Lonchura striata: one gene and its partners. The protein of the gene in region 2 binds, or shares a complex with, the protein of the main gene of each other region. Links are inferred from orthologs where the notes say so. Each region holds a gene or a part of one and is shown on either strand. Other genes may lie near its edges. The genes, in order: SV2A, SYT1 and CPLX1.

Evidence for each region.
Region 1: the proteins of SYT1 (region 2) and SV2A are in contact, whole or in part, in a crystal structure (PDB 4V11), measured with the Homo sapiens proteins. The link is inferred for Lonchura striata from reciprocal best matches to the Homo sapiens genes SYT1 and SV2A. Residues at the interface, in NP_001129277.1 of Homo sapiens: Thr291, Lys314, Lys326, Lys327, Lys328, Glu342, Ser343, Phe344, Ser345; in NP_001315603.1 of Homo sapiens: Asp82, Thr84, Glu85, Gly86, His87, Asp88.
Region 3: the proteins of SYT1 (region 2) and CPLX1 are in contact, whole or in part, in a crystal structure (PDB 5W5C), measured with the Rattus norvegicus proteins. The link is inferred for Lonchura striata from reciprocal best matches to the Homo sapiens genes SYT1 and CPLX1. Residues at the interface, in NP_001028852.2 of Rattus norvegicus: Glu271, Thr383, Gly384, Glu386, Thr406, Leu407, Gln408, Glu412, Met416; in NP_074055.1 of Rattus norvegicus: Val61, Met62, Gly65, Asp68, Lys69, Tyr70, Lys74.

What each region holds. Positions count from the first base shown.
Region 1 is NC_134635.1:2,704,990-2,715,194, reverse strand, and holds the start of SV2A (synaptic vesicle glycoprotein 2A), read left to right. Parts: upstream 1-5,468; 5' UTR 5,469-5,700; intron 5,701-7,696; 5' UTR 7,697-7,850; coding exon 7,851-8,430; intron 8,431-9,247; coding exon 9,248-9,428; intron 9,429-9,527; coding exon 9,528-9,679; intron 9,680-9,755; coding exon 9,756-9,889; intron 9,890-10,205. Other genes in the region: SF3B4 (splicing factor 3B subunit 4), read left to right, coding at 1-44, 1,256-1,426, 1,807-1,991. UniProt on the Homo sapiens protein: Plays a role in the control of regulated secretion in neural and endocrine cells, enhancing selectively low-frequency neurotransmission.
Region 2 is NC_134607.1:48,122,153-48,132,448, forward strand, and holds the start of SYT1 (synaptotagmin-1), read left to right. Parts: upstream 1-5,666; 5' UTR 5,667-5,795; intron 5,796-10,296. UniProt on the Homo sapiens protein: Calcium sensor that participates in triggering neurotransmitter release at the synapse. May have a regulatory role in the membrane interactions during trafficking of synaptic vesicles at the active zone of the synapse.
Region 3 is NC_134642.1:3,229,180-3,240,055, reverse strand, and holds the start of CPLX1 (complexin-1), read right to left. Parts: upstream 3,940-10,876; 5' UTR 3,683-3,939; intron 2,948-3,682; 5' UTR 2,876-2,947; coding exon 2,845-2,875; intron 1-2,844. UniProt on the Homo sapiens protein: Positively regulates a late step in exocytosis of various cytoplasmic vesicles, such as synaptic vesicles and other secretory vesicles.

The DNA of each region.
Region 1 (10,205 bases), on a different chromosome or scaffold from region 2:
CCCTCACCCGCACCCCTTCCCTCCGGGAGGGATGCACCACCCAGGTACGGGGCTGGGAGGGGCTGGGAGGGACCGGGAGAAGCTGGAAGGGACCGGGAGGAGGTGGAATGGGACCGGGAGGAGCTGGGAGGAGACCGGGAGGAGCTGGGAGGGTCCAGGAGGAGCTGGGAGGGGACAGGGAGGAGCTGGGAGGGGACATGGATCAGGATCTCCTCTTTTTGTCTTCCCTCCACCTCTCCTTTCCTCCCACTTCCTGCTGGACCTCTCAAACAATTCAAACGTCAGCGAGTTATTGAATTTCTGGGTCAGAACTAATTAGCTGACCGGTCCCTTTAAGTGTGGCATCCAGTAATTTTTTTGATAATTATCAAAATACTGGAGTTTAATCTGAGCGGGGGTTATGATTGTTGAAGGATCTGGGGAATTCAGGAGGTTGTTGCTGTCTGGGAGGCACCAGTTTTCCTTGAGTTGGGAAGGTGCAGGGACAGGGGAAGGAAGGAAGGAAGGCAGAGATGCAGAGAAGGAAGGCAGGAGCTGATTTTGGCATTAATAATTGAATGAAACCACTTTTTCCCCTGGTTTCCCCACTGTTTTGGCCCTGTGCTCCTGGGAAGGAGCTGTGTCTGCATCTCAGCTCTGTGTTCAAAAGCACAGATTTTGTGAAATGTGCAGTTTAATGATTCTCTGGGATTTGTTTTGATCTCGTAGCTCCAGAGCCACCCTAATTAGGGAGCTTTGTGTGATCCTGCTCTGGCCACGCCAGGAACAGATGCTGCAGGGCCTGAGCAGAGCCAATTACACCTGGCCAGGGAAAACCAGGCTCAGGAAGAAAGAGTCATTGGTTTATTTGGTGTTTTGGTGTTTAAATGGGTAAAAATGGGAGGAAAGGGGAGAAAATCAGGGCTGACAGTGGACTGCAAGGTGGAATGGGATAAAAACAGGGATAAAATGGGATCACTGGGAGAAAGGAAGTTTGGGGGGACCCTGGCTGCCCCAGTTGGAGCAGGGCAGCCTCCCACAGTTGTCCAAATTCTCCAGGGATGGGAATTCCTCACTGTGCCAGGGCTTCACACACTTCTCTTTTCCCACCCACTTGCATCCAAACCCTTTCCTCTTGCTTTAAACTCCGTGTTCCTTTCTCTTTAACCCCCTTTTTGGCAGCAGAAGCCCCCCTGCACTCACGATTTCCAGACCCAGCTGGAATTTTGAATCCTGGGGGGGCTTCCTGCCACCCCTAACTCCATCATCCCCCTAGGAATGCCACCCATGCAGGTGCACCACGGGCCACCTGGCATGGGGCAGCACCACCCAGGACCACCCGGCTCTGGGGGGCAGCCGCCCCCCCGGCCCCCCCCGGGCATGCCACACCCCGGACCCCCCCCCATGGGGCTCCCCCCACGGGGGCCACATTTCGGATCTCCAATGGGTGAGTGGGGTCTGTTTTTGGGGGGCTCTGCTCTGGGGGAGGAGGAGGGGATGAAGCAAGACCTGGGGGACCTGGCACCCCCCCAACTCTGGGGTCTTCACAGGGTGACCCCGCAGACCCCCCCCCGTGGGGATATCCACAGCTTTGGGATGGTTCTGGGGGTCCGTTGTGGGGGTCTTGGGAGCAATTCCTGGTTTTGGAGGAGCGTTTGCCAAGCTGGGGCTGGAGGGGGGCACCTGCTGGTTGTGGCACCCGTAGGTGGGGTGGGCACCTCCAGGGAAGTTTGGGGGTGGCTTTGGGCTGGTGGGCCGTGTTCCTGCAGCGGGTTTGGGGGGGCTCTGTCCTTTCCCCCTGGCACTGACCCCCCCTGTCCCCCACAGGTCACCCCGGGCCGCTGCCGCACCACGGGCTCCGCGGGCCCCCCCCGCTGATGCCACCCCACGGCTACAACGGGCCCCCCCGGCCCCCCCCCTACGGCTACCAGAGGGTCCCACTGCCCCCCCGGCCGGCGCAGAGACCCCCTGGAGTGCCCCCCCGCGGGCCCCTGCGGGGACCCCTGCCCTGAGAGCTGGGGGGCTCTCTGCTCCCCGTCCTCCCACGGCCCCTGCCACCAACATTCCCATCCCTGCAAAGGGCTGGGGGCCACCCCCCACTCCTCCCTTCCCTCCCCATTTTTTCCCCCGGTTTATTTTTATTGTGTTAATTTTTCTCCCTCTCTCCCCATCTCCTCCCGTTTGTCTTCCCCTGGAAGCTTTTCCAAGCTCCTTTTTATTGGATTTTGTTGGTTTTGTATGGAAAGCAGTGACCACCCACTTGAAAATAAAGGATTTGGGGAACCAGAAGAGTTTCTGGATTGGGGATGAGGCTCTGCTGAGATCTCTTCCCTGCTTGGGCCTTTGGGAAGAACCAGGCTGGAGGGATTTGGGACAGAGCTGATCCATGGTCTGATTCCTGCTCTCTTCAGCTGCTCCAGGAAATGTTTGGATTCCCGTTCTTGAGCTGCCCAAATCCAGGTTTGACTGTGGAATATTTTGGTGCCAATGTTTAGACAAAGTCAAACATTCCCCAGGGAAATCTTCAAGAGGCTTGGAGTCCACAAACCCCTTCTGCTGCCCCTGGGCAGTGCCAGAGCCTCCAGGAGCTGGGAGTTTGTGGGGGGACATGGAAGTGGGAATTTGCTGCTTGCTTCCTTCTTCATCCCACTGTTGTCTTCTTACAGCCAGGTGGGTCTGGATGGGATAGGAAGGGAAGGTTGGAACCCACTCCTGACCCTTCACATCCAGAAACGTGGGGAGAACCCCACAAGGATTGGTCGAGGGAGTGGATTTAGGTGTAAGGGGTGGGATTGTGTGGGGACAGGGGTTCCCTGTGGTGCTGAGAGCCAAGGGGCTGAAGAGATCTCCAGTATCCAGAGAATCCTGGGTGGGTGAGCCCCAGGGTGGCATTTCCCTGCTCCTCACTCATGGAAGCCACCAGGATCCCCCTGGAGCAGCAAATCTCCCTGCATGGACACAATCATCATCCCCTTTTCCCCTGGGGGTATCCAATGTCACCCCCACTTTTATCCCATCGTCCCTGGTGTTATCCTGTCATTCCCAGTTACATCCCACCTCCCCTTTCCTCCCATTTTATCCCTGTTTTTATCCCATCCCACCTTGCAGTCCACTGCCAGCCCAAATTTTCTCCCCTTTCCTCCCATTTTATCCCTGTTTTTATCCCATCCCACCTTGCAGTCCACTGCCAGCCCCGATTTTCTCCCCTTTCCTCCCATTTTATCCCTGTTTTTATCCCATCCCACCTTGCAGTCCACTGCCAGCCCCGATTTTCTCCCCTTTCCTCCCATTTTATCCCTGTTTTTATCCCATCCCACCTTGCAGTCCACTGCCAGCCCCGATTTTCTCCCCTTTCCTCCCATTTTATCCCCGTTTTTATCCCGTCCCACCTTGCAGTCCACTGCCAGCCCCGATTTTCTCCCCTTTCCTCCCATTTTATCCCTGTTTTTATCCCATCCCACCTTGCAGTCCACTGCCAGCCCCGATTTTCTCCCCTTTCCTCCCATTTTATCCCTGTTTTTATCCCATCCCACCTTGCAGTCCACTGCCAGCCCCGATTTTCTCCCCTTTCCTCCCATTTTATCCCCGTTTTTATCCCATCCCACCTTGCAGTCCACTGCCAGCCCCGATTTTCTCCCATTTTTCCCCGTTTTTATCCCGTCCCACCTTGCAGTCCACTGTCAGCCCTGATTTTCTCCCCTTTCCTCCCGTTTTTACCCATTTTTATCCCATTCCCCTCAGCTCTTTCCCACTCCGTGTTTCTCTGTCCTGCTGCCAAGCCTGTTCCTTCTGATGAGCCACAAAAAATCCCCCGGGGCCGAGCAGAGCTCCGCGGTGACAGTGGCACATGAGTCACCGGGTGCCTGGGGATGTGGCACTCCTTGTCACCATTTCCCAGGGATGCTCCTCCACTCCTGCATTTCCATCCCTCTTTTAGTTTATTTATTTATTTTTTTTCTTCTCCACAATCGGTTCTCAGCTCCTGGATTTGTAAATCCTTCCCAGTGCAGACTGGTCCCCATCCCTGTTTTCCAGTCTGAAGGGCGAAGCGACGGATCCTGACTGTGAGGTTTTGGGGTTGACACCCTGGAAGCTGGGACGGGGTCAGCTCAAGGCAGGGGATGCAGGAGGATTGGGGTTCAGGGAAGATTTGGGATCTGGGAATGTTGGGATGCAGGATAAAAGGGCTTTGGGAATATTGGAATGCCAGGGAAGGGGTTCAGGGAAGATTTGGGATCTGGGAATTTTGGGATGATGCAGGATGGAGGGACCCTGGGCACTTTGGAATGCCAGGGAAGGGGTTCAGGGAAGATTTGGGATCTGGGAATTTTGGGATGCAGGATGGAGGGGTTCTGAGAATATTGGAATGCCAGGGAAGGGGTTCAGGGAAGATTTGGGATCTGGGAATGTTGGGATGCAGGATGGAGGGGTTCTGGGAACATTGGAATGCCAGGGAAGGGGTTCAGGGAAGATTTGGGCTCTGGGAATTTTGGGATGCAGGATGGAGGGGTTCTGGGAATATTGGAATGCCAGGGAAGGGGTTCAGGGAAGATTTGGGATCTGGGAATTTTGGGATGCAGGATGGAGGGGTTCTGGGAATATTGGAATGCCAGGGAAGGGGTTCAGGGAAGATTTGGGCTCTGGGAATTTTGGGATGCCAGGGAAGATTTGGGCTCTGGGAATGATTCAGGATAAAGGGGCTCTGGGAACATTGGAATGCCAGGAAAGGGGTTCAGTCAAGATTTGGGATCTGGGAATTTTGGGATGCAGGATGGAGGGATTCTGGGAATATTGGAATGCCAGGGAAGGGGTTCAGGGAAGATTTGAGGCTTTGGGAATGTTGGGATGCAGGATGGAGAGGCTCTGGGAATATTGGGATGCCTGGGAAGGGGTTCAGGGAAGATCTTGCTCGTGGGGGCACCCCAAACCCTGCTCGCTGTGCAGGGCCCCCCACTCTGAGCTCAGCCAGTCCCAGGAGCACCCAGCACCCACAGCCCCGGGATATGGGGCTGGACATCTGTGGGTCCCAATTTCCCACCCTCGGGAAGCCATCCACGGGAAATGGGGGTGGGTTCGGACATCCCACGCTGCAACGTGCATTTCCAGCTGTAACCCCAACACCCCCCCCAAAAAAAAAAAGTAAAAAATTCATCGGGGGCTTTTGTGTCGTGTTGTAGCCTAGGGGCCGAGCCTGGCCAGCCGATTTGATCCCAAAAAATCCCAATCCAGCCCCGCGGAGGCCGTGACTCAGCCGTGGCGGGGGCGGGCGGGCTGAGCTGCTCCGCGGGATCCGGGGGGGCCCTGCCTCACGCCCCCCGTCCCACCCGCCGCCCCCCGCCGCCCGCAGCCTCCGGAGCGGCTCCATCCCGGCGGCTCCGTGCCGGGAGCCCCGAGCCCGCGGGAACTCCGCTCGCTCATCCCGGCAGCTCCATCGCCCCCTCCCCGCTGGGCCGAGCCCCCCGCCCCCGCCGAGCCCCCCCCGGTTCTCGGCGTGCCGTGGTTGATCCCTCCCTTCCCGGTGCTGCGCCGATGGACTCTCCCAGCGCTCCCGGTGCGCGGCGGAGGCTGCGGCGGTAGCGCTGGTACCCGGGAGCTGCCGGCGCGCCGTTTCGCTGCCGGAGCATCCTCTTTCCGTTATCCCTTCCCGAGCATCCTTCCTCGCCGGAGCATCCCCCTCGCCGGCGCCGGGAAGGAGCTGGAGCGCGGCGAGGGCTGAGCCAGGTAAGCAGGAACAAAACGGGTTTATAGCCCGCATCCCCCCTCCCCGCGGCGTTAATCGGCGTCCTCGGAGCCGCTGATGGATTCGGGGTTCGTTTTCCTACTTGCTGTGGCCATTTTGTCCTGGAAAACCTTCTCCAGAGCCCAGCTCTGCCTTTGGATGTGCGTTTTTGGGGGCTCCTCTCATCCCCCCCCGTGCCTGTGGCCGCAGAGCAGCCGGAGGGGATCGGGAATTCGCCGCAAGGACGGGAAGGGGGAACCGGGGGGGGTTTTTGGGGAAGGGGTAGCAGGGGGAGATGTTGGGGGGTGACCTTGGACACGAGCGATTCCCAACTCTTCCCCCTTGTCGCCATGTTCCTGGCGTTCCTGGCGTTCCGCAGGGAGGCTGGGGGGGTTTTGGGGGGGGATGCAGCCCCCCAGTGTGGGACTCCCGGGGGTTTTGGGGTGCACGGTTGCATCCATCCTCGGCTGCGCTTGGATGCGTGGCAGGAGGAGACGGATCCAGACCCGATAACCTTGTGCAGAGCTGTCCAACGCCACGACGGGGCTGCAGGGCCAGCGGCGTGTTCAGCCCCCAGATGGGCATTTTTTGGGGGGACCCCCCTGGCTCCCGCATTTCAGGGACTGTGCTCTGTGGGATTTCTGGCTCTCCTGTGGGATCCGACCCCTGATCTCAGGCAGCTCTGGCTCCTGGCGTCGGCTCGGCCGCTCCGGGCTGCCCGGTTTGTACGGCCGCTCTCTGTCACCGAGCCAGCCGTGACCTTGCTCCCCGGCCCATCCTCTTCCTCACCGTGCACCCAGCCTCTCCCTGCTCCCCCATTCCTCCTCCCGGCCCCCCAATACCTCCTGCTCTGTGCAATGCCAGCCCCACACGGGGATGTTCCAAAGGGAACCGCAAGCCTGGCTGGAGCAAAATGACCTTGGTCATGGATCAGGAGCTTCACAGGCCCACGGGACCCCCGGGGAGGGGATTTGGGGTCTGCCCGCAGCCAGAGGGGAGGACATGGGGGGGAATTTGCCATTTTATCCTGTAAAACCTGCCTCTGCTCGGGAATTGGGACCCGTGCTTGCCGCAGCCCCCCTCTCTGCAGGGTTTCCGAAGGGCTAAATTTAGCGTCCCTGCGTGCCCTGTCCCCTCGCTGGGCAGGGGGGGGACACGTCGCCGGCTGCGTCCCTCTGCCCGCAGCTCCTTCTAAAAATAGCATTTTTTGGGGAGGGGGAGGTGGGGAGGGTCACGACGGCCCCTGAGGGTGGAGCAGCAGCATCGGGCTGGGGGGCTCCATCCCTGTCACGAGCTGAGCCGGGCTCTGTGCAGTGGGTGTGGGGACGCTGGGGTGTGGGATGCTGGCATGTGAGGGGACAAGGAGATGCCACCCCCAGGGATTCTTCTCCCCCCAGGGGACTCGTGGTACCCCCAACCCCCTTTGGCTGGGTCGGTGCTGGTGTCTCCCGCAGTAAATCCTGCAGTGAGCGTGGCCTGGCACGCACGGGTCACTGTCACTCGAGGGACCCCCCAAGGGGCTCCTGTACCTTGAGCCACCCAGCCAGGGCAGTGCTGGGAGGGACCTCCATGCCCTCAGGGGCTGACCTCCCTCATCCTCCCTGTGGTGCCCAAGGAAATGGGGAGCTTCGGTCCAGACGTGCTGATGGCCTTGTTTTTTTGGGGTGACTTGCAGCCCTGGGGATGCTCAGGGGCAGCCGTGTCCCTGATGTCCCCCCCAGCTCCCCCTGTGCTTTGGGATGAACGCAGAAGGGATGGATCCAGGGGGACTGGGGGGTCCCAGTGAGCTGGGGCAGCTGGAATCCCCCCGGTGAGGGGACGGGGGCTGGTATGGAGCCAGCGTCTCTCAGCCCGTCCCCAGTCCAGCCCCCTCCTGCCGCTTCACCGGGGGGGGGTCCCCAAATCCTCCTGTTTCCATCCGAGACGGAGAAAAAGCGCGAGGTGGCACGCAGGGCTGCTACCACCCAAGCTCAGCCTGGTTTTGTCTGGGCTCCCCAGGTCCAGGCTGGCATCCAGGGTCCTCCCACAGCCCGTTCCACGGATGGGTAGCTCCATCACCCCTCTCCCCTCACCCCGGGCCTGAGGGCGCAGCCCCCGACGCAGAGACCACCCCCCGTCCACCCGCAGCGCCCCGTGCCAGCCCAAGGGCACCATGGACGAGTCGTTCCGGGACCGGACCGCGTTCATCCGCGGCGCCAAGGACATCGCCAAGGAGGTGAAGAAGCACGCGGCCAAGAAGGTGAGCCGGGGCATGGACCGAGTGCAGGACGAGTACACCCGGCGCTCCTACTCCCGCTTCGAGGAGGAGGAGGATGACGAAGACTACGCGCCCCAGGACGGCTACTACCGAGGGGGCGAGGGGGCCAACGAGGAGGAGGGGGTGTCCAGCGACGCCACGGAAGGCCACGACGAGGAGGACGAGATCTACGAGGGCGAGTACCAAGGGATCCCCCGGCAGGAGTCGCTGAAAGGGGGGGAGCGCCTGGGGGCCGCGGCGGCCGCCGGCGCTTTCGACGACGGCGAGGGGCAGCGGAGGAAGGACCGGGAGGAGCTGGCGCAGCAGTACGAGCTGATCCTGCAGGAGTGCGGCCACGGCCGCTTCCAGTGGACCCTCTACTTTGTCCTGGGCCTGGCCCTCATGGCTGACGGCGTTGAGGTCTTTGTGGTGGGCTTCGTCCTGCCCAGCGCCGAGAAGGACATGTGCCTCTCCGACTCCAACAAGGGCATGCTGGGTGAGGAGAGGGGCACGGGGGGCAGGCAGGGGGATGTGGGAGCGGTGGGTAGGGGGGTCAGAGGGGCAGGGTGGCACGGAGGGGCACTGGGAGGTGTGGGGAGGTGTGGGGATACGGAGAGATGTGTGGAATGTAGGGGGACATGAGGACATGTTGGGGGGGCAGAGGAACACGGGAGGGTGGGGACACGGAGCTGGGGATGGGGGAGGACGTGGGGGGCTTGGGGAGATGTTGGGGGGTCATAAGGGCTGTGGAAGAACACAGGGAGAATTGGGAGGCCGTGGGATGTGGGGTCCAGGAAGGGATGTGGGGGCAAGGAGGGGTGAAGGACACCCTGGTGAGGGCTCCCACCATCCTCCTCCCAGTCCTACACTGGTCCCCACATGAGCAATGGTGAGGGGAGCGAGCTCAGAAACTTGGGCTGACTAGTGGATGCTGAGAGTGGGTTTGGGGGGCTGTGGGGGGCTTTGTCCTGTTGCTTTCCCCCTTCTCTGTGATGCCTGCCAGAGCCTGACAACCCCCCCAAATCCCAGGGGACATCAGTGCCCCCCATCCCTGAGATTTGGCAACCTTGGGACAGGGGGAGGGGCTGGCTGTGGGGGTCCTGGGGGTACCTCTGCCCCCCCAGTCCCTGAGCGGAGCAGGGGGACAACGCGGGATCCTGTCCCTTCCTTCAAGGGGACGCAGCGTTTTGGGGAGGGGGTCCCTGCCCGCTGCCCTCCCCCAGTGCCGAGGATGCTCTCCCTCCTCCGGGTGACTCGGGGTGCAGGTCCCTGTGTCCCCCAGGACTGACCTCGCTGCGTGTCCCCCTCGCCAGGCCTCATCGTGTACCTGGGCATGATGGTGGGCGCGTTCGTGTGGGGCGGGCTGGCCGACCGGCTGGGCCGAAGGCAGTGCCTCCTCATCTCCCTCTCCGTCAACAGCGTCTTCGCCTTCTTCTCCTCCTTCGTCCAGGGCTACGGCACCTTCCTCTTCTGCCGCCTGCTCTCGGGCGTGGGGTAAGGGGGGCCCGGCCGCGCGGGGACCCCCGGAGCAGGGGGTGGCACCGTGGGGCGTGGGGCGGGGGGGTGATGCCGCTCCCTCCCCTCCGTCCCCAGCATCGGCGGCTCCATCCCCATCGTCTTCTCCTACTTCTCGGAGTTCCTGGCGCAGGAGAAGCGCGGGGAGCACCTGAGCTGGCTCTGCATGTTCTGGATGATCGGGGGCATCTACGCCTCCGCTATGGCCTGGGCCATCATCCCCCACTACGGTAGGAGCCCTGGGCTGGTGGCACGTGTGGTGTGCTCCGGGGCTCGGCCCCACCGCCGTGTCCTGTCCCTGTCCAGGCTGGAGCTTCCAGATGGGCTCCGCGTACCAATTCCACAGCTGGAGGGTCTTCGTCCTCGTCTGCGCCTTCCCCTCGGTCTTCGCCATCGGGGCGCTCACCACCATGCCGGAGAGCCCACGCTTCTACCTTGAGGTGGGGTCTGGGGGGGCCGTGGGGGGAATCTGGGGTGCAGCAGGGTCCTGGAGTGGGGGTCCCCTCGAGGAAGGGACGCCCGGGTAGGGGTGGAGATGGGACAACACAGACAGGGGGTGGTGAGGTCTGGACAGGAAGCCCCAGGTGGGTTTTGGAGAGGGGTGGGAGTGGGCAGGAACCCCCAAGTGGGTGATGGGACCCCCCCAGAGGGATGATGAGGTGATGAAGGTGGTGATGAAGATGGTGGAGGGATGAAGACGGTGGAGGGATCCCCGGCTGGGTGGCAGAACCCAGGTGGGTGGTGGAACCCAGACTG
Region 2 (10,296 bases):
ACTCTATTTCCTTCTAATTTATACTCACAAAATTTGAAGGCTATGGCATATGCTATAGAAAAAAGTAATACGGCAAACAAAACAATTCTTTTAGTTTGTAAACAAAATGATGTTTCTGACAGAATTGCCAGAGTAAATGCTATCTTACCACATTGTATGCTGGCTAAGATATTGCTATGAAGAAAGCAAAATTCAGAAATATTTTCTACGAATTATATTAATGAAGCATAATTTTAAGTTCATTTATCTATGTGGTTTGCAAGCTTTTAAGTCTAATAAAAGTCTAGACACCAGAATTTACAGTGACTGCCTTATTGTAAGAGAAGTAAATACATTTTTTAAACACACAGAATACTACAAAATAATGATTACTGTAAAAGAATAATACACTTTCTTGATTTGGCATTTTAAATTCAAATACTAAGGTAATTTTACTTTGAATGAAATGACAGTGTGAGCTAAATGAAAACAAACTCCCTTGAGAATTATTTATCATGCTACTAATATTCAGAAGTATTTTCTGAAATTTAAAATACGTTAATTAGGTCTTTAGTAACTCTATCCCATTTTTAATTCACCTGGAAGTTTTTGGCCTACTCTGCATAGTTGGATGGTAGAACTTACCATGCTTTATGGCTGGGCTGGCTTCCTGGGGCCGTATGTCTGCTGCAAAGTGAAGGTTTCATGGACATCTCAAATTAGAGACATGAAATCTAGGAAGCCTGAAACCTTAAGATTTTATCTCTGTTTCAGTGTTATAGTCTGATACTTATATTATTTACTCTCACTCCACTCTCAGGGTGGTGTAAACATAAGCATATTTTGCATTTAAAAGTCAATTTGTTTGAGTCTCTCCATACAGAATTATGCTTAATTTGTATTGGAGACATGGAATGTGCTCTCTTATGTGCATTGTGATAGTCAATTCATACTGATTTGAAAAAACATTGTTTAAGTCTCAGCCCTCTCCTCAGAGGTAACACTGACTGCCATTACACAGATCTTCCACCTGTTTTGCAAGGTCACTCCTAAAAATTAAATTAGAAATGACATTTTGCATTCTTTTATTACACAGTCATCCATGATGCATACAGTAACTGTGGATTAGAAATTTTACATTGAGTAAGCCATAAGGTAAGAAGATTGATAATATCTGGGTGTTCTGGAAGCTAAGAGTTCAGTAGTTTGTCATTTTACATAGTAGATTGTGCCTGAAAAGGAAACTGGGACTTCAGCTCATCTTAGCTTAACTGAAAAGTATTTTTTTCTGGAGTGCCATCCTGAGCACCTCTTTGGTGAAAACTGACTTTCAAAGAGGGGAGGGGGATTAGGAATGCATATCTGACAACCCAAAAGAGAATCCCTGAACTAGGGGCACCATCTACAGGGGAACAGACTGACACTGACTCAGATCAGTTCATGCATTACATAGCTGACATCTGTGCAAAGCATATGCAAGTTGGTTTGGCTACACTTGAACACCCCCTCAGAGTACTTCTGTTTTCATTTTCATTTCTGCTGCCATAGTGTCCAGGAGCCCTGGGCACAAAGCAGGAGCTCTCAGTGTCAGCTGCTATACAAATGCAGACTAAAGGAGATCATCTCTGCCTAATCAACTTAGAAGCAGCAGCAGATGTGTACAGATCAAACAGAAGAAAACAATGAAATCAGATGACAAACTGAGACAAATATCAGTGAATGGACTAACAAGTTCTTTGATTTTACCCTTTGATTTTTAGCTATAATTAAAACCACAAACCCACAACATTTATTCTCCACTCTCTCTACCTAAATGGTAATCATATACATTGTTAGAAAAATAATCTTCAAAGATGATTTGCTTAATGTAACACTTCCATTAGTTGTGTATAGTTGAATAGTTACTCCAGTATTTATTAATTTTACTGAAGGTTAATTGTCACTTTAGGGACATAGCTTTCTTTCTCTGCTTTCATGTCTTTCATTCTAAGTGCATCATCACCACTCAGTAGGTATTATGTAAACTTTACTGAAACCAAGAGTGTGACAACAGAACACCAAAATGGGATTCCAAGTGTTTAATTCTCAGCTATACAGACCAGCCCTTGTATACCCAGTAAACTGGAAAAAACATCAAAACAATAAATAGCCATTAATATGTTAAAAGAAATTTCAGAAACACATTCTTAAACTACTGCAATAAGAGCCTATTTTTAAAAGCTGTTCCATTTCCCTAAGCAAAACCCAATTCCTTTATCTTCCCATAAAAGTACTTCTCTAAAAACTAACTTGATGATGGAAAAGACCAAATCAAAGCACAAAACAGAAGTAAATGACATTATAATGAAGAACAAAATAAAATAATTTTTCTGTTAAAGACAAGGATCTGTAACCTTGTGACACAGAAAGCCAGTTCAGTTAGTTTACAGATCTACCTGGTAAGTAAATTAACATGCTACCAGTTTTATTTACTTATTTATCTGCCAGTGATTTGCTCTCATTATTTACCTGACTTCCCATCTTGTACATCTATTTGTGGCAGTTGTGATACTTGGTCACACAAAGTGTGACCTACAAAAGGAAAAAAGTCAAAGACCTGATTGCTTTTTTGATGTGTAACAACTCCTGTTGCTCCTGAATTAGCCTCAGTTCAGTGACTGCCATTCTAGTATCTGCTCTTCGTATGCCATAGAACTTGCCAGGATAGGCCCAAGAATACTGGTTTCATTTGCTTTGGCCCAGGCTTCCTCCCTCTTTATGGATCAAGCAGGAGTCTTTCATTTTCCAAATCTAATTTTTATGGCTCATATTGCTTTCTAATCTTGAAGTCACAATATACAGAAAGTGAAAAATAAAAATAACAAACAAGGAATCATTTCTGCTCTTGCTTTTTATTCAAAATTTTGCCTGATTCTCCTGTACCTTTGTCTCAGTCTAAGTCTAAAACAAAAACAGAACATATGAAGAATATAATGGAGCCTAGCTCTCCATTTTTATGTAGCAAGATACCTGATGGAACTTCTGAATGGCTGACAGTAATTAAAATTATCTTCTGATGCACTAAAACACATAAAAAAAATTAAAATGCCAAAGAAAGCAACAAAATAGGGTTTACAATAGAATTTCTTCTGGATTTGCATGTTTCTTCTTTTTTCTCATAATAGGATCCTTTCTTCTTCCCTAAACACAACCATGGAAGAGTTAATAATAACAAATACAGTCATGTATGTTTCATGATTTTAGAGGCTAGCATTTGGCTAGCACTCCAAGCATTCATCAAATGGCTCCTGAGCTCTTCTAGAGCATCTTTGTCCATTCAGGATATGTATGTCATTCCTTAAGCCTCACAGCTTCCTTTGGTATAATTAACATAATGACTGGATACTAACTACCCATTTCCTTGAAAATGCAGTAGTGAAATAAAAATTGCAGGACTGAAAACCACTTTCTGTATGAATTAACCTTTGAACTTGAAAGAAACTGAAGGAAGCAACTTTTCAGCAATTCTTTCATTGCAAACAACCAAGCTCAGAAAATAATAGGCAAAAACTCTCCCAGCCACTTCGACAGCTGGTTTAAGTTTTTTGTTTGGTTGGTTTTTGTTTTTGTTTGGATTTTTGTTTTTGTTTTTTGAGGTTTTTTAAACATAGCAGAACAATTATGTATGGGCTACCCCAGTCAGAGAGTGCAAAAGTGATGGTATACTCTTCAGGACTACTACTAGATAGCATTTCTGTTCCTTGCTATCTGTACATTAAGGAAGGGCCATTGGGCTTCAGTGATGTTTCTTGTCTTTGCTCAAATACTAAGACAGCATATGATGTGTCATGCCTTGTGAATGTCAGACTCCCACAGACTTCTGGCTGTGTGGCTGTTAGGAACTCAGCATCAAGTCCTCATAATTACTAGCACTGAAATGTGTGGGTTTTTTAACTGACCAGATAAATGTTCCTGGAGAAAATAATCCTTGGTATCTCTTGTATTGGTACAGAGAAAACAGCAATCCTTTTAAATCGTACAGGGTAATCTGAACACAAGTGACACTTCTGCATATGCAGTTTAAATTATGGTTGTTCCTCCTTTCCATAGCTCAGTAAAAGCTTTACAATGTAATTTCTTTTGCATTTGCTTTCCTTCTCTCCTCTCATGGTCTAATGTGCCCATACAAGAAAAACTGATATTCTGACATAACAGACCTAAGAAAAAATGCGGTCAGAAAAACTGAACTGGAAAAGGGCTGTGAATTTTAGAGTCAAATCCAAACATGAAAGTATGGATGGGGAATGGCAGAATACAGTTCTATTGAAAGCACAATAAGTCACCTATGAGATGTGCCTGGGGGCCGTGTGACTTTCTCAGTTACCTGCTGACGATGGCATACGGGCTGGTCTCTTTGCCAACATCTGCTATCTATATTAAGATGTACTTTAGGTACTTTTCACTCTCAGTGTAATAACAGAAACTGACTAAATGGTTGTGAAATATATTACTACTTTCTTAAGTTTTCTTAGAACAACTGTAATCCAGCAGGATCATATACAGTAGCACATCAAACCTGAGCTACAACCTGTATGTTCAGTACCCTGTAACCAATTAAAGGTTAGGGGAAACACATACAGAAATACCACCCTGTTGTGTTTACAATTTTGCAGGTAAAATTGTTTTCCTCCTCTTTGAGGAATATTGCTTGTTATCCTCTTTGAGGGTATAAATGCAGCAGTAATATATGCTGAGGAACAAAGAACTTTAGTCTGTTGTGTTTTTAAAAGCTAAGCTTACATCTAAATCTATTTCCATTTCCCTCTGGAACCTGAGCAACTTTTTATGTTATATTAAACATCAGACAAATAGGATAGATCTAATTAAAAGTTGAAGAAATGTGCTTCCCTTAATTGAATTTGTTACAGTTACATTTTGCAGACCAGTGTTAATCAAAGCTCCAGTTCAGAGTGGATGGATCAAGGGAATTAGGTTAACCCTTGCACGTCCTTACCTGAACACGCGATACAGTCTGCTCTCGCCTAAGCCACAGAAGCCAATTACGACTCACCCCGCTGGGTCGCGACTGCCCGGGGCGGCGGCAGAGAGGGGGCTGCGCGCCGCAGGCTCGCTAACAGTACCAACTACGCCTGCCGGGGGTCGCCGCCGCCCCGCGACCTACGGGCGAGGGGCACTGCCGCGCCTCGCCCGGGGCACCCGGCTCGCCCGACGGCCGCGGGGCTTGCGGTACAGCGCGTCGTGCCGGCCAGCGGCAGCCCCGCGGCCGCCCGGGGATGCCAGCCTCGCCCGCCGCGCGCGGGGATACCCTCCTCATCCTCCCTATCCTCATCCTTCTCCTCCGCCCGCGGCCGCCCGGCCCCGCCCGACGGGGCGGACGGGGACCCGCGGCCGCGGGATGGGCGAGGCCGGCGCGGCGGCTCCACCCTCGGTGGGCGCCGGGCGATTGGCCGCGGAGCGCGTCTCCCCGCCCCGCAGCCAATGAGGGCGGCGGGCCGGGGGTGATGGGCTGCCTCTCGCGGGAGGGATTCCTGGAGACGCTGCAGTGTGGCGGCGCTCCCGGCGCCGCGCAGCCCCCGTGCCGCCTCCGCCGCCCCGCCTGCCTCGCCTTGCCCTGCCCGCCGGCGGCCGCCACCGCCGCTGAAACTTAACGCCCGGCGCGCCGCCTGCCCGCCGAGCGCAGGGGGCTGGGGCAGCCTGCCTGCCGTGCCGGGGGCGGTCCGCCCGCGCCCCGCCGCGCACCGCAGCCTCGCCCCGGGAGCTGCCGCCGCGGGGAGAGGCTGAAGGACGGAGCCGGCTGCGCCCGCCCCGGTTGCCAGGTAAGGCAGCGCCCCGGAGCTGCCCGCAGCCGCGCCCGGGCGGCGTCGCCGCGGGCGGGGGGGGCTGCCCGCTGCGCGGGCGGGGGGAGCGCACATGCTCCGGGGGCGGCTGTACCGCCGCCCGCCCGCCGGCTCTGCCCGCACTGCCGGGGGGCGGGGGCCCGCCCCCGGGGCGCTCCCGGCGGGGGTGGGGGCGTTTACGGGAGGGGCGACACAGACAAAGGGGACGCCCGCGCCCCCCCCCCGCCGCCCTCCTTGCTCTCCGCCCCCGCGGAGCTCCGCCGTCGCCCCCCGCCCCGGCTGCAGGAGAGGGGAGCCGTCCGCTCCGCATCCCTCCATCCCTCCGCACCGCTGCCCGGAGCCGGCGCCGAGGCGGCCGCCGGGCCAACTTGTTTCTCCGGGTGTCGCCTGGCCGCTGCCCCCGCCGTGCCCCCGCCCTCGGCAGGGTGCTCTGTCCCGACGGCCGCCCCGGCGGAGGGCGGTGGGGCGCGGCGGTGCGCCCCGCCCCCGGTGCTGGTCTCCCCTCCGGACCGCAGGACAACAGCTAATCGTTTATGTATCAATTCACGAAAACCTTTCCGTCATTACTTAGAAAGGCTGTCAGGCTAATGTGTTTTCTTTCCGTGCAATTTCATTTTCCTTCATGCCGAGTACCACTTGCCCTGCTCTGGTTTGGGTACGTTCAGTTCTGGTTCCTAGGTGCACACGGTATGAGCTGGGGATCAGCGCTCTGTTTAAAAGTTAATTTTGCCTATTCAAACTCCACTAGGTACAGTAGTAAGAAAGTGACAAAGAATGTTCATGTTTCTTTTGTTTCTAGCCTTCTGAAATAAAGATATCAAACGACTACTAGCTTCTGGTAGTCAGTATAGTAAATAAATTAAATGTAGTCGTTGGAATGAGCTTTTATGGCACTTTCAACAATCTGTAATTCAATCATCTCTTATACAAGCTGCCTTTTGCTATTATTCATCAGACCCAGTTGAGTGATTTCTGTCAGATGGGAAGTGGTAGAGAGAAATCTCTAGGTAGATGTAACTGAAAAGCTTTCCAAGTAGAGTCCTAAATGAGCACAGAAAAGCACTTGGCCACAATCTCAAGACAGATGTTGGCATCCAAATAAATAATTTCTTTTGATTGTCTGGGGGATGTCAAGTTTTATTTTCCTTATTTAATAGCCATTTGCGTGTGAATAAGTAGTTCTGTCTTTATTACCTTGTAAACTCAATGCAAAATGTTGTAGTGCAATAATATTTCACTGTCTCTGAAACCATATTTTCTGTACAAAGGTCAGTGGAGTAGTTCCAGATACGCATACATGTTGTAGATGACAAGTAGACTCCTAATCTGCAGTGGTGATATTGATCCTCAGAGCTGCTGTGCAGTGTGCCATCCATGTTGCATGCTAATCTGTTACGCGCTGTTTAAATTGCTTTATTGTCCGGGAGAGTTACTTCATCCTAAGAAAAGGAAGAAGGTACTGGCAGACTCAAGGGGACTTTCCTTTCCCTGTTGAGTTGACATCTAGAGTTACAGATGGGCAGTTGGTTTAGGAGTGTCCCTGAAAAAGGGAGGGGGAAGCTTTTGGGTACAAAGACAAGTAGGCAGTGAATTAATTTGCTTTGTGAGGATATGAAATGACATCCCCTGCCATGCTTAAAAAAACCTGCTTGGAAAAAGCGTAAGGAGATTGCACATGTGTCTAGAATACTGTTTTCTTGTCTGTCTTGGAAACAAATGACCTGATTTTATGTCTTGAGACAAATATGTATCTCTTTTGGTTCCAAGCTTTTTGGGTTTTTAGTTCTATTAGTAGTGTTGAGGGAAATATACTTTAATGTGGTGAATTACTTGGCTTGTGGTATATTTGCTCAAAATTTGCATGCATACAATTCATAAATTGAAACTATATAGCTTTAAAACATAGTGTAGGCAGCTTGAGTGAGAAGAGATAATTTCAAAAAGAACCACAGGGCATAAGATAATGACATACTGTAGGAAATAATCATACTCCTGCACTTGCAAAAGCATGAAGTGTTCCCGTGTAGCCATTTCATACAAGCCAAATTTTCCTTCACATTAAGAGCGTCTAAGTGAGCCTTATTAATGTTTGATGTGAAAGATGCTAAATCCATTTTAAGGGTTGGTACTGGAATTTAAAGAGGTAGCTCACAGACTAACAGCAGTTCTAATACTTCCTTAAAACAAATGTGAAAAATAATCAGTTGCCATGTATGCCACAGCAGTACAAGTGGCATACAGCATTCAGTGTAACACTGATGGGCAAGAACCCCTTTAAAACCATATAGAACAGTGTTTAGCAATCTGAAATGATCTCCTACCTTAATCATAACAGATCAGATGTAAGAGATGACCAAGAAGATGCTCAGTGTTGGTTAGTGTAGTGAAGGTGTGAGTTAAGGGAAGGTTCTGTTTGTCAGAAACCTAGGGAAAAAAAAAAAATCTATATTCTTCCAGCTAGCATAGAGACACCGGAAACATAAAATCAATTTTTATGGTCTTTCGGCAGGGTTGGCTGTAATAAGTAAAAAGAAGGAGCAGCTTAGTGTCTTGGCAGAAGTTTTTAAGCCACTCATCTGTACAGAACTCAGTTAATTGATGTTTCCTCATATGAAAATGAAGCTCTTATTTAGCATCTTGTTGTCTTTTCCTGTCCATTCAGTAGTCTGGTTACAATTTAAAAAAATATTTTTATGTAGTTTTATACTTGCATGCATGTTTGAACACACAGATAAACTCTACTAGGAGCTGCTTTCTGAATAAAGGGTGCATGCAACCTCATTACATGCTGTGGAAGAGACATTAAAGTTTGTGATAGGAATGAAAAGGACAAGAAAATATTTCTGCATATCTAGAAGAAAAGCATGGAGGAATTATAATGCATGGATACCATGATCTCCTTCCCTCTGCTGGAGATGCCTATATAAATATGCAATTTCACGAAGAGAAGTTCTTCATAGTTTGATTTTACTTGGATTCTCTATAGAATGTTTGTTTTAAACATAACTCTGTATCTAGGAAAAAAACTTAATTAGAAATACAGATAAGGGAACAAACTATCAATTTGTGCTTACTGCTGACATTTCCTAAAGATACTCGAGGTTAAAATAAAAGCATTTGCCAGACTAAGTAAACAAAGCATTAGGTTAACAAATATTTCCAGGATCGTTACGTACAAATGTCATCTTTGCTAGAGTAGGCTCTACTCTTCTTTCATACACCCCAGAAAAAGTGGGGGTGGTTTTACTGTTGCATCTTTTTACAGAAATACCAGACACCAAAGCAGACTTCATTAGGAGGAGGACACCTGACAAGGGTTTTTCATGATTTCTTCTGGTGATAGGCTAAGAGCAGGCTACAGGCAATCCCTTTCAGGGACTGCATAGATTAGCTGAGTGATTTGTGCAGCAGCATGTGGAAAAATTTTCGTTTAAATAAAAAAAGAAGTAAAAGTATTTACTAATACTATTTTTTTTTTCTTTGGGTCTTGTAATGACTGAAAGCAGGATGGGAACTATAATAAGAACGTCTCTTTAAGTACTACTTTTGACAAATGTCTAATCAGTATGTTTTAGAGGCTGGCTTTTCTCTTCTGTTGTTTTCCCCAGGTAGCTAAAGGAGGAGCACATGAATGGCTTATGAGAGAACTGACCATTTTTCTTAACCTGCTTTCTTATCACTGCCAGTCTTGAGGTATTTCCCTGAAACAGAAGGCACTGAACAGTTCTCCTTCTCCATACTAGAGGGAGTGGTGTTGCCATCTTCTAAATTCGCAGGGAATTGCAAACTCGGGATGCCAATTCTCTTTTCCAGATATCCCTAAATAGGCTCAGAAAAATCTATCAGAACATGAAATAAATCTGGAATGTTTCCTATGCAGTGTAGTTATCTCATATTCTATATTCTAATATTCATAATATCTTTTTAAATGGAGAAGATTTAACAAATTTTTAAACAATCATGAGAAATTATCCAAATAATTAATCATCTCTGAATTATTATAGTTATATACAGATTTCAGGAAAATAAAATTTTATTTAGGAGTGGCTAAATCTAATTTGGTTCTTTTAAAGATGCTGTCTGTAAGTTTCCTGGGCACTATTCAGGATCTATGGCCAAATGTATTGTGGTAGCTTTAATAATGTAGCCATTGATGTAATAACTAGATAGTACAGTGCCTCAAAGCTACTCAGTGATGATTTAAGGAATTGATTTAAGTGATTAAAAATCCACTTATAAGTTCTGTTTTGTACCTTTATCTTAAGGGTATTGTTTTTCTGTAATCGTATGGTTGAAAAATCAGTGTAGCAGTTGCAAATGGAAAAGCTGGTAACCATTTTTCAGTTTGGCTCAGAGACATGAGTTTACCCATGAACTCTCATGTCCATGTGTTTAAATAACCATGTAGATAGTGCAATTAAAAATAATTGGAGTGCTTTTGTGCAAAGCACTGTGGAAATAAAGATTCCTTCACAAACAG
Region 3 (10,876 bases), on a different chromosome or scaffold from region 2:
GTTAGTTCTACTGTTAATTAGCAGAGAGTGAGACCTCAATAAGGTGGTAGGAGGTAGGAGAATGATATTTTTCTATCAGTACCTTATTTGACCACTCCCTATGACAAAACCTGGCTCCTAACTCCTCCACTGCTTCAGAGACCTGCATAGTCCTGTACAGCAGGGAAAGATCAAAAGCAACCACCTGCAAATAGTTTTCAAATCCAGGCTCTTAGTTATAATAAGATCTGGCCTAAGCTTAAATTTAGGGCTGTAGGCTGGGAAGAAAAAATATATTACGAAAATGACATACCCCTTATGCTCTGTCAAGGACATCCAACTGGCCCTCAGCCCTTGTGAATTTTCACCATCTGACATAGCTGAAGGGTTAAGCTACCTTAGCTGTAGGTATTTGGCAAGCAGAATCTATAGCAAGTCTGATTTTTTGTAAATTAGAGGAGACCTTAATGACAAAACTGCAGTATTTTTTTCTTTCTTCCAGGAATCCATAAGAGCTTATGAGAATAGTATAAGAACTTCTGCACAATTTAAAAAATCCTATCAAGCAGAATAATGAATTTAGATGTGTTCTGGGAAAAACCATATTAAACTAAAATCAAAGAGCCATGAAATCCACCCAAGGACCTCCCAAAAAGTGAGGATAATAAAAATAGTCACTAGCAGATCAGACCACGTGCCCTACCCAAAGCAAGCCTATTGACTAGAGGTTTGGTGGTCTGCTCAGTTTGACCATCCTTGTGGACACAATTCACAGATTAGTCTGAGTTGGAAGGGACCCAGAAGGATCACTGAGTCCAGCTCTTAAGTAAATCTCCCTTTGGATATCAGAACTGGCAGAAATAAAGGGTTCTGGACCCAAAACTAAGGAAGCAAACTATATCCTTTAGTCCTTGGTTTGCTGTGCCAGTCTGGCCAGCCTGGATGATTTGCATCAGCTTGGGCTTTAACTCCAGGGAGAAACCAGTGTCCAAAACCACTTTACTTTCCATATTAGATTTGCAATGGGAGATCTTGTTTTATCTTGTTGAAACTATTTGTAATTTAAAAATAGGACTCTGCTTAATGAATTAGCATTTCCTGGATTTTACCACTCTGCAGAGACTTCTCCTTTATTGAGTAAGTGGGTAAGTTCCAGACACATTAAGTCATCTGGCAGAAGAGCTGGTGCCCTGGACAGCATCTTGACTGACATCAGAAGCTCAGACTTCACAAAAAGATGCTTTTTGAATTTACCTTCTCAGAAAGTCCTATTACCATACAAATCCTGACCTTGGCATGCAACATCTTGTCAGAATGAAGGAGGTCTGCCCAGGGTGAATGTTGTTAAGCACGGGCAGACACTGCTTCCAACTCATGTTAAGTCACAAAGCTGCAGAAAAAAGCAGCCATGGTAGATGTTATTCCTTTGCTGCAGCCCTCCTCCCCCCACCTTTAGCTGCAGTCTGTGAGCATTTATGTCCCTTCACTGGATTTATGGATCTCCAGCTGTAGTTGCTGTATCTCCAGTTTGCAGGTACATTAGTTCAATTCTGTGCAAGCAACCTTGCACTACAGCAAACAGTGCAAAGTCTGCACATCTTAACACTAATTCTCCTTCAAAACAGGCACTGAAGAGTGAAATGAAGCACAGTGCTGCTGCCACACAAACCGCTACCTTCTCACGCAGATGTCCTCATACCTCACTGTTTCATGCAAAACAAATTCATCCCTTTCTTCTCCAGTTTTATCTCCCTATTCAAAATACCCCAACTAAAACTTTGGTTGCTTCCTCTGTTCTAAACTGTGAAAATTTTGCTCCTCTGGTGAAAAACACCCACCACTTTCAGAGATGAAAACATTATTTCCACACCATGGGATAGAGTCCTGCAGTAAATGTTGAAGTTGTATATGACATCAATATCACCACACATTAAACATTTACACAGCCCCATGATTCTACAGTTTCTTCAAAGCAAAAATAATGAAAAATGCACACAAGAAATAGAGTACAAAAGAGAATTATCAGCTTCCTCTGAGGCAAATATTTCAGTTCCCAACAGCATCCAGCATCACCTCAGGGATGCTCAGACCAAATGTCCAGGTCAAGCAGTCTAGAAAGTAACTGTGGCAGAAAAAAGGAACCTCATTCCCAAATATTTATTCAGTGTTTTCAATTTTGCCTACACGCATCCCTAACTTTTGTATTTCACACCGTTAGGTTAAAATAATTCCTCATACACGTAAACTAATATACAGAAACCCACAGAAGATTTGCCTTAAATCCAGGTAAAGTGTGTAGGAATAATTTATTATCATTTCCATCCTTATTGTGGCAGTGTCCTTACCAAAAACAACTATCAAAATATCAGAGACAGAAATTTCTGCACTGGGCATTTTTTGTTCAGGATTTGGCTGGTCTTTGGGCCAAAGATGAAAGAAGGTTTACACACATAGACAAAATGTCACTCTTTCTTTGGGCTTACTCTGCCTAAACCAGTCTTTGTCCTTTATAATATCTGCCTCAGTGTCATGGCATGAAGCAAATCAAGGCTTGCGCTGCACAGCAGGATGTGCATCCAGGTGGTGAGGTGCCAATTAGGCATGACCCAGGGCCCGCACACCCTGTGTGGGAGGTCTCTTCTCTGACATGGGGCTTTGGTCTCTGCTTGTTGCTGCCCTCTCCTGCTCAGATTCTCCAAATACTCCACTCCGGGATCATTAATCAGTGACAGGCATGCTCTTCCAAGTCCTCAATAAGCTATTCCAGGTGCAGTCCCTACTATAGTAGACCATCTCCTCTCTTTCTGAGTGGAAAGGGGAGGGGTAGGAGGGATTCAAGGCCCCTTGTTTGCCAATCACACTTACCTCCTAGAGCTTGTTTCATAACAAAATCCATGATTTGTCACTTGGGGTCCTGCCCACCTTCACACCTCACATGCACAGAGACTGGAAATCCTTGGAAGGCAGCCTGCAAAGAGGCACAATTAAAACAGGAATAGTGTCTCTATAATGCCTGATATTCCTCAGCTCTCTTCCCACAGTCTTCCTCCCTTTGTCTGAGTGCAAACAAGTTTCCAGCCCTCCATCCTTTCAGACCCTGCTTTGCACGGGCACCCCAAGGAGCAGAGCTGCATGTCAGCGGCTGGGAGGACTCAGGGGTACACGACGGCTCCCCCAGCCTGGGCAAGCGCCCGGGAGGAGTGCGGAGGAGCAATGCGGTCCCCCTTCATGGCTTTTTTCCTTGCAGACGGGCAGGAAGGAGTTAAACCTTTGAACTTTCCCGTTTTCCCCGCCTAGCTTCTCGCCCTCTCGGTTTGCTCCGAGGTGGCAGGTCCGCCCGGGACCGCCGAGGGGGCATTTGAAGGTGAAGCGCCCTGCAAGTGCCCGGGAGAACAAGCGGGGGATGCTGGGCGATCGGGATGCGGATGCAGTCCGGCTAGCGGGATGGAAAGTCCCCCTTCGGAAAGCCCCCAGCGCAACGCCGGCGAGGGCTGCACCTCCTCAGGGTGAGCCGGGACGGCTCAAGGTTGAGACCAGCCTCAGGTGCTGCACAGCTCCTTCATCCCACCCCCCGCCCGAGTTCAGCATCGGCTCACAGACACCTGGAGGGACAAGAGCTGTCCCCGTCTCCGTGCGCCCGCACCCCGCCTCTCCTCCCTGCCCTTCCCGGCTCGGCACGGCCCGCCCGCCCCGGCGCCGGTACCTCGCTCGGCGTGCTGAGACGGGCCGGGCCGGGCCGGGCAGGGGCTGCGGCAGGTGCCGGGGCTGCCTCTCCTCTCCCTCCTCTCCCCCGGGCTCCGCCGGCGCCCGTGTGCCCGAGGCTCGCCGGGGAAGTTGCGGGCGCGGAGTGGGGGAGAAGGAATGAGTCCACAGCTTCTCCCTACTTTTTTTCCCCCGCGCCCCTCTTTTTATCACAGCATTTCCGGACCATCCCACCGACACGGTCCCTCCTTCCTCCTCCCCTCGTTGCGGGCGTTGGACTCTCTCCCTCCCCCTGCCTCCGGCTCCCCCGCCCCTTCCCTGCGCCGCCCTCGCCCCTCGGTGCCGAGGATGCCGGCAGCGCTCCCCGACCCGCGGAGGGGTGCGAGTGTCTGCGAGTTGTCCCCCGCCCCATCCCTGCTGTCCCCGGCAGCCAGGTGTCCTTGTGCTGTGCCGTGGGGGGAAGGAGGGGCCGCTGTCAGCCCGCTGTAGCATTTTGCAATTGGTTTCCTTGCCTCTCCTCGGGAGTCAGTGTCTGTGTGTGCCAGGGGAAATCTCTGCAAACACGGCTTCCTGCAAAAAGGGGGAGGGTGTGGGAGAGCGTTCTGCATCCTCTGTTCTGAGTCCTTCCCCCAGATCCCCTCTCATTCCCTAGGTCCTGGAACGAGTTGGAGAGGCAAGGAAGAAGACAAGGGAGGGAGCAGACTTTCTCCTCCCTCTTGCTTCGCCTCGAATTAACTGCGGCCGGAGAAGAATCGCCGGCTGCTTGTCTCTGTGCTCTCGCTATCCAGGTTGGGGGGGCGAGGCCGGGGGGAGGGACGGGATGGGGGGAAAGAGGAAAGTCGTCTGTCTCCCTGCGACTGCCGCTGAAGGACGCCAGTGCAGCGACCCGTTGTCCAGCCCGGATTCGGGACGGCATCTGGAGGTGAGGAGGAAGGAGCTGTGCGAGCGCTATGTGGCAAAGCAGAGCAATATCCACTCCAGAGCACCGGCGCCCACCTTTAGGGATGCTGACAGCCGGCTTGGCGCTGGATGGGGAGGAGACGAGTTCTGCTGCTGATCCGCCCTCTTGTCGCCAGCAGGAGAGGTGGGACAGCAACCCCCAGAGTAATATATGGGTCTAAAAGGAAGGAGGGGGCTAGAGCGGGATGCTGCCGGCACACGGGGAGCTCGGGGATGGGGAGCAGCGGCGCCTCCCGGGGAGATTCTGGCACGGCCCGTGGGCGACATCGTCTGAAGGTCAGGAAGGACGCCGGGCCCGCACCTGGCCCCGCGGAAAGGCGTGCGGAGCCAGAACAGGCGAGCTCTGAACAGGCAGCCATCGGGGCTCCGCAGTCTGCAAAGCTTTCAGATGCCAGCCGCAGATGCAGGAGTGCATATCTCTACACTCAGAGCCGTGTCTACCACCTGGGTCTGCCTCAGTGCCCCATGCCTGTCAGTGCTTCAAAGGCATTTGGATAATGCCCTTTATAACACCACTTCATCCTGAAGTGATCGAGTCAATTGGGCTAGATTGTCTCTTTAGGTCCCCTTCCCCTGAACTGTTTTGTTCTATTCTATAGCCTCCCAGAAAACCACTTTTGCAGCTGACACTAATGTTAGTCCAAGAAAGTCACCCGGGTAAGCAGTGCTGCACTTTTTCTAACAAGTTTCAGGGAGGAAAAAGACAGGGTGGAAAAGCCTCTTGTTTTATACCTTAATTCACCCCCAGAGTGAGTGTTTTATACCTGAACAAGAGTGAGTGTTTTATACCTGAACTCACCATTCAAAAGGCATAATGCAGTATTTTTTATGTTTTTTCATACATAACACAGGAGTTTGTCAGCACAGATTACTGTGCTCAAGAAATGAACCTGGGAGCCTGCTGGAGCTGTGTGCCTGGGTTTCTATGCTATTAACACAGTGTTTCCAGATCTGTGGTGCCTCCCCAAGTGTCTATATGCCTTTGAGCAGGGTTTATAGTTTGGGTCTGTCATATCACACCTCACATTCCTTTTTCATCATATGATTGCTCCTAGAGAAAGGACAGCATCCCCATCCCAGACTAGCAAACCTCCATACGCACACCTTGCTCTTGTGTCCCAGAGTCTGGGAAGGAGCAATTAAATACCTTCAAACAGAAGGATCAGAAAAGTGTGAGCTGATAGAACACCCAGTTGCCTAAAATCAGCTTTCTTCTTCCTATTTTGAGAATCCTGGACCATGCTACATCAAGGAACTCCTGCAGCAGTCAAGGGTCAGCATAACCAAGTGGGGCTGCTGAGAAATGTCATTGTTCCTGTTCATAGGTTCCTTACAAACTTTGCAACAGCAATTGTCCTCCCCTCTGTGCAGAGAAGAGTGACGTCATCCACAGGGATTTCAGAAGCCAGACAAAACAATAGGGACATCCAGAAGTCCCTGAAAGATCCCTGAGCTTCTTGTTGACCTGTTTAGACTGGCTGGTCTGTTTCCAGAGACAGCCCACTCTCCAAGGGTCATGTACCTATGGTTCTGTTTCCAAACTGCACCCACATTTTCCAGATTACACAGCTGACACAGAAAATCATGATACTGAGCTCTTAACACTGACTACCTCACAGTTCCCTCCTCTTCAGGAGACCAAGGCACATCATCATGAAATCACGAACTCCAGTGAGATACTCTAAGTCCTAACTTCAGTATCTCTACCCTGCCTCAAGTGCCAGATTCCTTGTACCACCCACAGGATGTACAGATGAAAATCCAATCATTTGTGAGCCTGATTTGGGTACCTCCCGTCCAGGTGATACTCTGACTATTCGGTCAAGAAAGTTCCTACCAGTACACTCTTCACCACATGAGGATCAGGCACAGAGGCAAGAAAGCACACAGTCAAAAGAGATGATGTAATCTATGATCTGCATCTATTCATAGTCTTAGGAAGACTTCTTGAGAAGGCTTTTACCTCCGAGGCAGAGCCTTTCCTCAATTTTCCAAGAAACCCAGCTGGAAAGACAGTCTCGTGGGGATCTGCTAGGTGATTTACCTGCCATACATGATGTCTGATACACAAGAAATAATAGCTCCTGCAGCCATGGTAATGATATGAGCAATGTCACATGCATCTTCTTTCTGATGGCATGTACCAATATCCTAGGTTCATAAAAATTTATGTGTATGAATCTGGCAGTAATGCAATTTTATAAGATCTACTGGATAGTAACAAATCCCAGGAACAGCAGCGTTTTCTCACCAGAGTGAGGGATGGAGCCTGCGGTCTGTGAGTGGGATCTATCCCAGCACCATGGACAGAGAACAGCCGCCCTGACAGCTCCGAAACTTCTCCAAACACCAAAGCCAGTTCTTAGTCTGGATTGCACTGTGTAGCTGACAAATGCCTGCTCCTGATGGTAGGAATAGGCTTGTTCTTGCTTGCAGAACCAGAACAGTAGGAATCCACATTGTGACCTTGCTCGGTGCAGATGAAGAGTGCAGAACACTGAGCAAAGATCTCCTCCATGGAGTTTTGTGCATGGAACTGAGATTCCTTCCTTGGCCACCAGCTGGGAATCTGTGTAAGAAGTGGAATAAGCCAATAATTGAGTTTGGTGACATTTTCCATAGAAAAATTTATATTTGTATCTCTAAAAAGAAGGAAGGGTCTGTTTTCAGACAGAAAAAAATTAAATTAGTCAGGATGTTTCATTTCAACATCTTAAAACGCAGTGTTTGATTATTCATTTCCATATGGTGTTTGACTACTAAACTGAAACCAATGCCATGTGAAAATGATACTAATAAGAAAGCTCACAAACAAAGTGTAAATGTTATAGAAAGTAATTAAGCAGCCGCCCGAAATGAACATACTTAGTTTCTTTTTCTTTTTTCCCCCCTATCTTTTATTAGCTCTCACTATTGGAACTGCTGTGCTGTTCAGTAGGCTGCTGGCAAGACCTGCACAGGAGCAGGGTGATTAGCTTTTTATCAACACAGCTACTGAGACAGAGGAGTCAATACTTGCTAAAGGTAGTTTGTGTACAACAGTTGCAAATCCTTCAGTGGTTTAGTTCGCTGAACACATCTACTGAGACAAATCTACTGTTTGTTTCATTTTCTCTTCAACTGTCAATTCTGACTGCCAAAACATTTCAGAATTCAAGCATTTTTTACCTCTTCAAAAGTACTGCTTTTTTTCTTGTTACATTCAACTTACAGCAGGCTTTAAGGTTTTTATTTTCTAACCAATTTAAAAAAAAATAACATTCTTTTTAAGAAGTGTATGTTTCCCTAAAGCAGGGAAAAATTATAAAAGGATTTTACAGCCATTTCTAATAGCTCTGAAGTTCTGGTCCCTTGAGATTTCTTGAAGGTGAACTCTCTAGTTGAGCATTTGTTTCAGCTATCACAAGACCAAATTTTAGCTGCCCACCCTCAGAAAAACTGAAACAGACACATATTGATTGTTCTGTCTTAATGACATGTGAACACAAGAGTGCAAACCATATAATTTAAAATTTTTTTCTTTTTTATTTTAATGAACACAGATGCCCCAGTCTATTTTATGAATAGGACCCTTGGTAGGCTGCCATTTATAGCCTCTAGCTCTTAAGCTGACAACTTCTTGTTTGTTTTCTACCTTTTCTACTCCCCTAGTCCCTCTATCTCATTCCTTTCTTTGTTTCCTTCTCTCTGGAGAAGTTTTTGCCTTGCCAGACTTATTGAGAATCCCTTCTCAGCAGGACTCTGATTCCTGTGGATAGGCATGATCAGGTAAATCCTGTACCTCTTATCTCCAGGATTTACAGCTGTAGATTACAAGGCTTCCTTGGCAGACAGAAGTTGTCCATAAAGCCAAGAATCCATCTTTATCACTGCAGTGATTAAATAAAGATGCCTCTATCCAAAGTGTATCAAGTTTTTGTCATAAGATTATTATTTCAAGTACTTTTGGCAAGAATTTTTCCACCAGTGAATAAGTCATCCAAACCAGAGCATTCTGGAATCTGTCAGCTTGTACAGGAGTTTAGAAGCAAAGAAGGTAAAAAAAATTACTGCTATATATTTGATGCTGTTGAAACATTCTACTTTGAGGTATCAAAAGTGCTGCACCTTTTCCATGACCAAATCACTTTGCCTTGACTCTTTGCTTCAAGCCATACATGTGTGTATGAAAAATAAACAAAATCATAGCAGAGTAAATTGGATTTGTTTCAGAATTCTTCTGTCAATGGAGAGGGGAAAAAGATGCCATACTTTTCCTCTTTGTTGCAATTTAAAGTGCAAGCAAGATTCAAAAGGTCAAACACACTTTACAACAGAATTTCTGTTTTCCCAGGTAATTAATTCTTTGCCTCGCCTTCTTTTATTACTCTATGTCTTGGAAAACAAAATTATCAGAGGGAAGTATTATGCTTGGCTGAAATGATAGCTTGGTGTCAGATGCTATGGCCTGTAGTTCTTCTCCTGTGTTAAAAGAGTAGCCTCAAGTTCTGAGCTCATTTTGGAAGGGATGCCTTCACCTCAAAAGCAATATGTCAATCCCTAAGCTATAACAAAAAATGTAATTGTTTAATATTTTAAACTTTTCATTAAGCATGAGGTGAATGTGTACTTGTGTTAGTTTAACGCAGCCTGATATTTAGTGGGAGTGGGAAAAGCCACAGAGGCAACATTTGAGAAAAACAAACATCTGCTTAAAGCTTCTACTATGTCTAGGAGAGCAAATACCAAAAGGCTCTGAAAATGGACATGTTGCTAGCTGTTCTTTACAATTAAAAAAGTTGGTAACACCTCTGTGATGACACTTTAAGTAGGAAAAAAAAACACGTGTATACTCTCCTTCTTCTTCTTCCTAGGGGTGGGGAGGCAGCCAATAGGAGGCCATGCTGGGGAAAATTAAATAGGAAAGCCTTATAAATATGATTGCTTAGCAAAAGATTTTGAGGATATAGAAACTATAAGCAAGACTGAAATGAAAGCAAGCTTTGAGATACCAAGCCTTAGTTACTGAACAACTAGAAAACCATAGTATAGCAAATTAAAGGTAATCCCCTTTTGATTAAACAATACCCTCCACTTGCAGACAAGTCCAAGGGTCAGAGCAGACCCCACTAACTTAGCAAAAGTGGTCCAAAAAGTAGTTTTTAGGGTTTAAAATGTAACACAGTATAGTAATATAATGTAACAGTATAGTAATATAATGATTTATATAAGCTGAATGTAAATGCTCCTTATAAGATTTCTATCTTATACTAAATTAGTTAGTGAAAATTAAAATATTCAACATTCAAAAGAAGATTTATTGTATTATAACAAAAACTTCTCTCTTTTACCCTCTATTACTCTTTCAGCTCTCTCTTTCGGGCCTGCTTGGAGCTGCAGCTGGCAGCTCCAAACAGGGTTCCTACACACACACCCTTTACAATAAACCACAAGTTCCAAAACCTGACTTCAAATATCTCCCATCTCCATCTGTCCCAACCATCCTACCTCCCTCACTCCCACGGGGACACGCCAGTGCAGCCAGGACCATGCAGCCATCTCTGCGTGGCTGCTGGGGGGACCCTGTGGCCGACAGTGAGGGGCATGAGGAGCAATTCTGCAATGGGATCAACTTTTCAGCACTGTGAAACCCTGTAAGATCCTTTCTATCGATAGAACTTGAGAACAAGCAAACCTACCAACACCAATTCTCTCCCGAGGCAGAGGAAAGGGAAAGGTGAAGACATGTGAGGAGAACAACGCGGCGACACTGAGGTCAGTGAAAAGGAGGGAGGGGGAGGAGGAGATGCTCCAAACATCAGAGCTGAGATTCTTCTGCAAGCCATGGTGAGGACTATAATACAACAAACTGTTTCCCTGTGATTCATGAAGTGCATGGAGGGATGCAGAGATCCATTAGGCAATTGAACACCTTGCCTGGGCTGTCCAAGAATCCTTCTGCCACATGACTTCTGAGAATGGAAGAGCAATAAGTGCCAATTGCCACCTCGTCTGTGTACCACCAGCAGTATCAGACAGATCAAGATGGTGTGATCCCCATCCATGACCCAGGAACTGGAGAGCCAAGGGGTGGTCAGCAAAACCCACTCACCCTTCAGCAGCCCCATCTGGCCATTTGTGCACAAATCTGACAGAGGATGGAGATTGACTGTGGTTTATCATGGTTTAAATGAAGTGACTCCACCGCTGAGCGCTGCTGTACCAAACATGCTGGAACTCCAGTACGAGCTGGAGT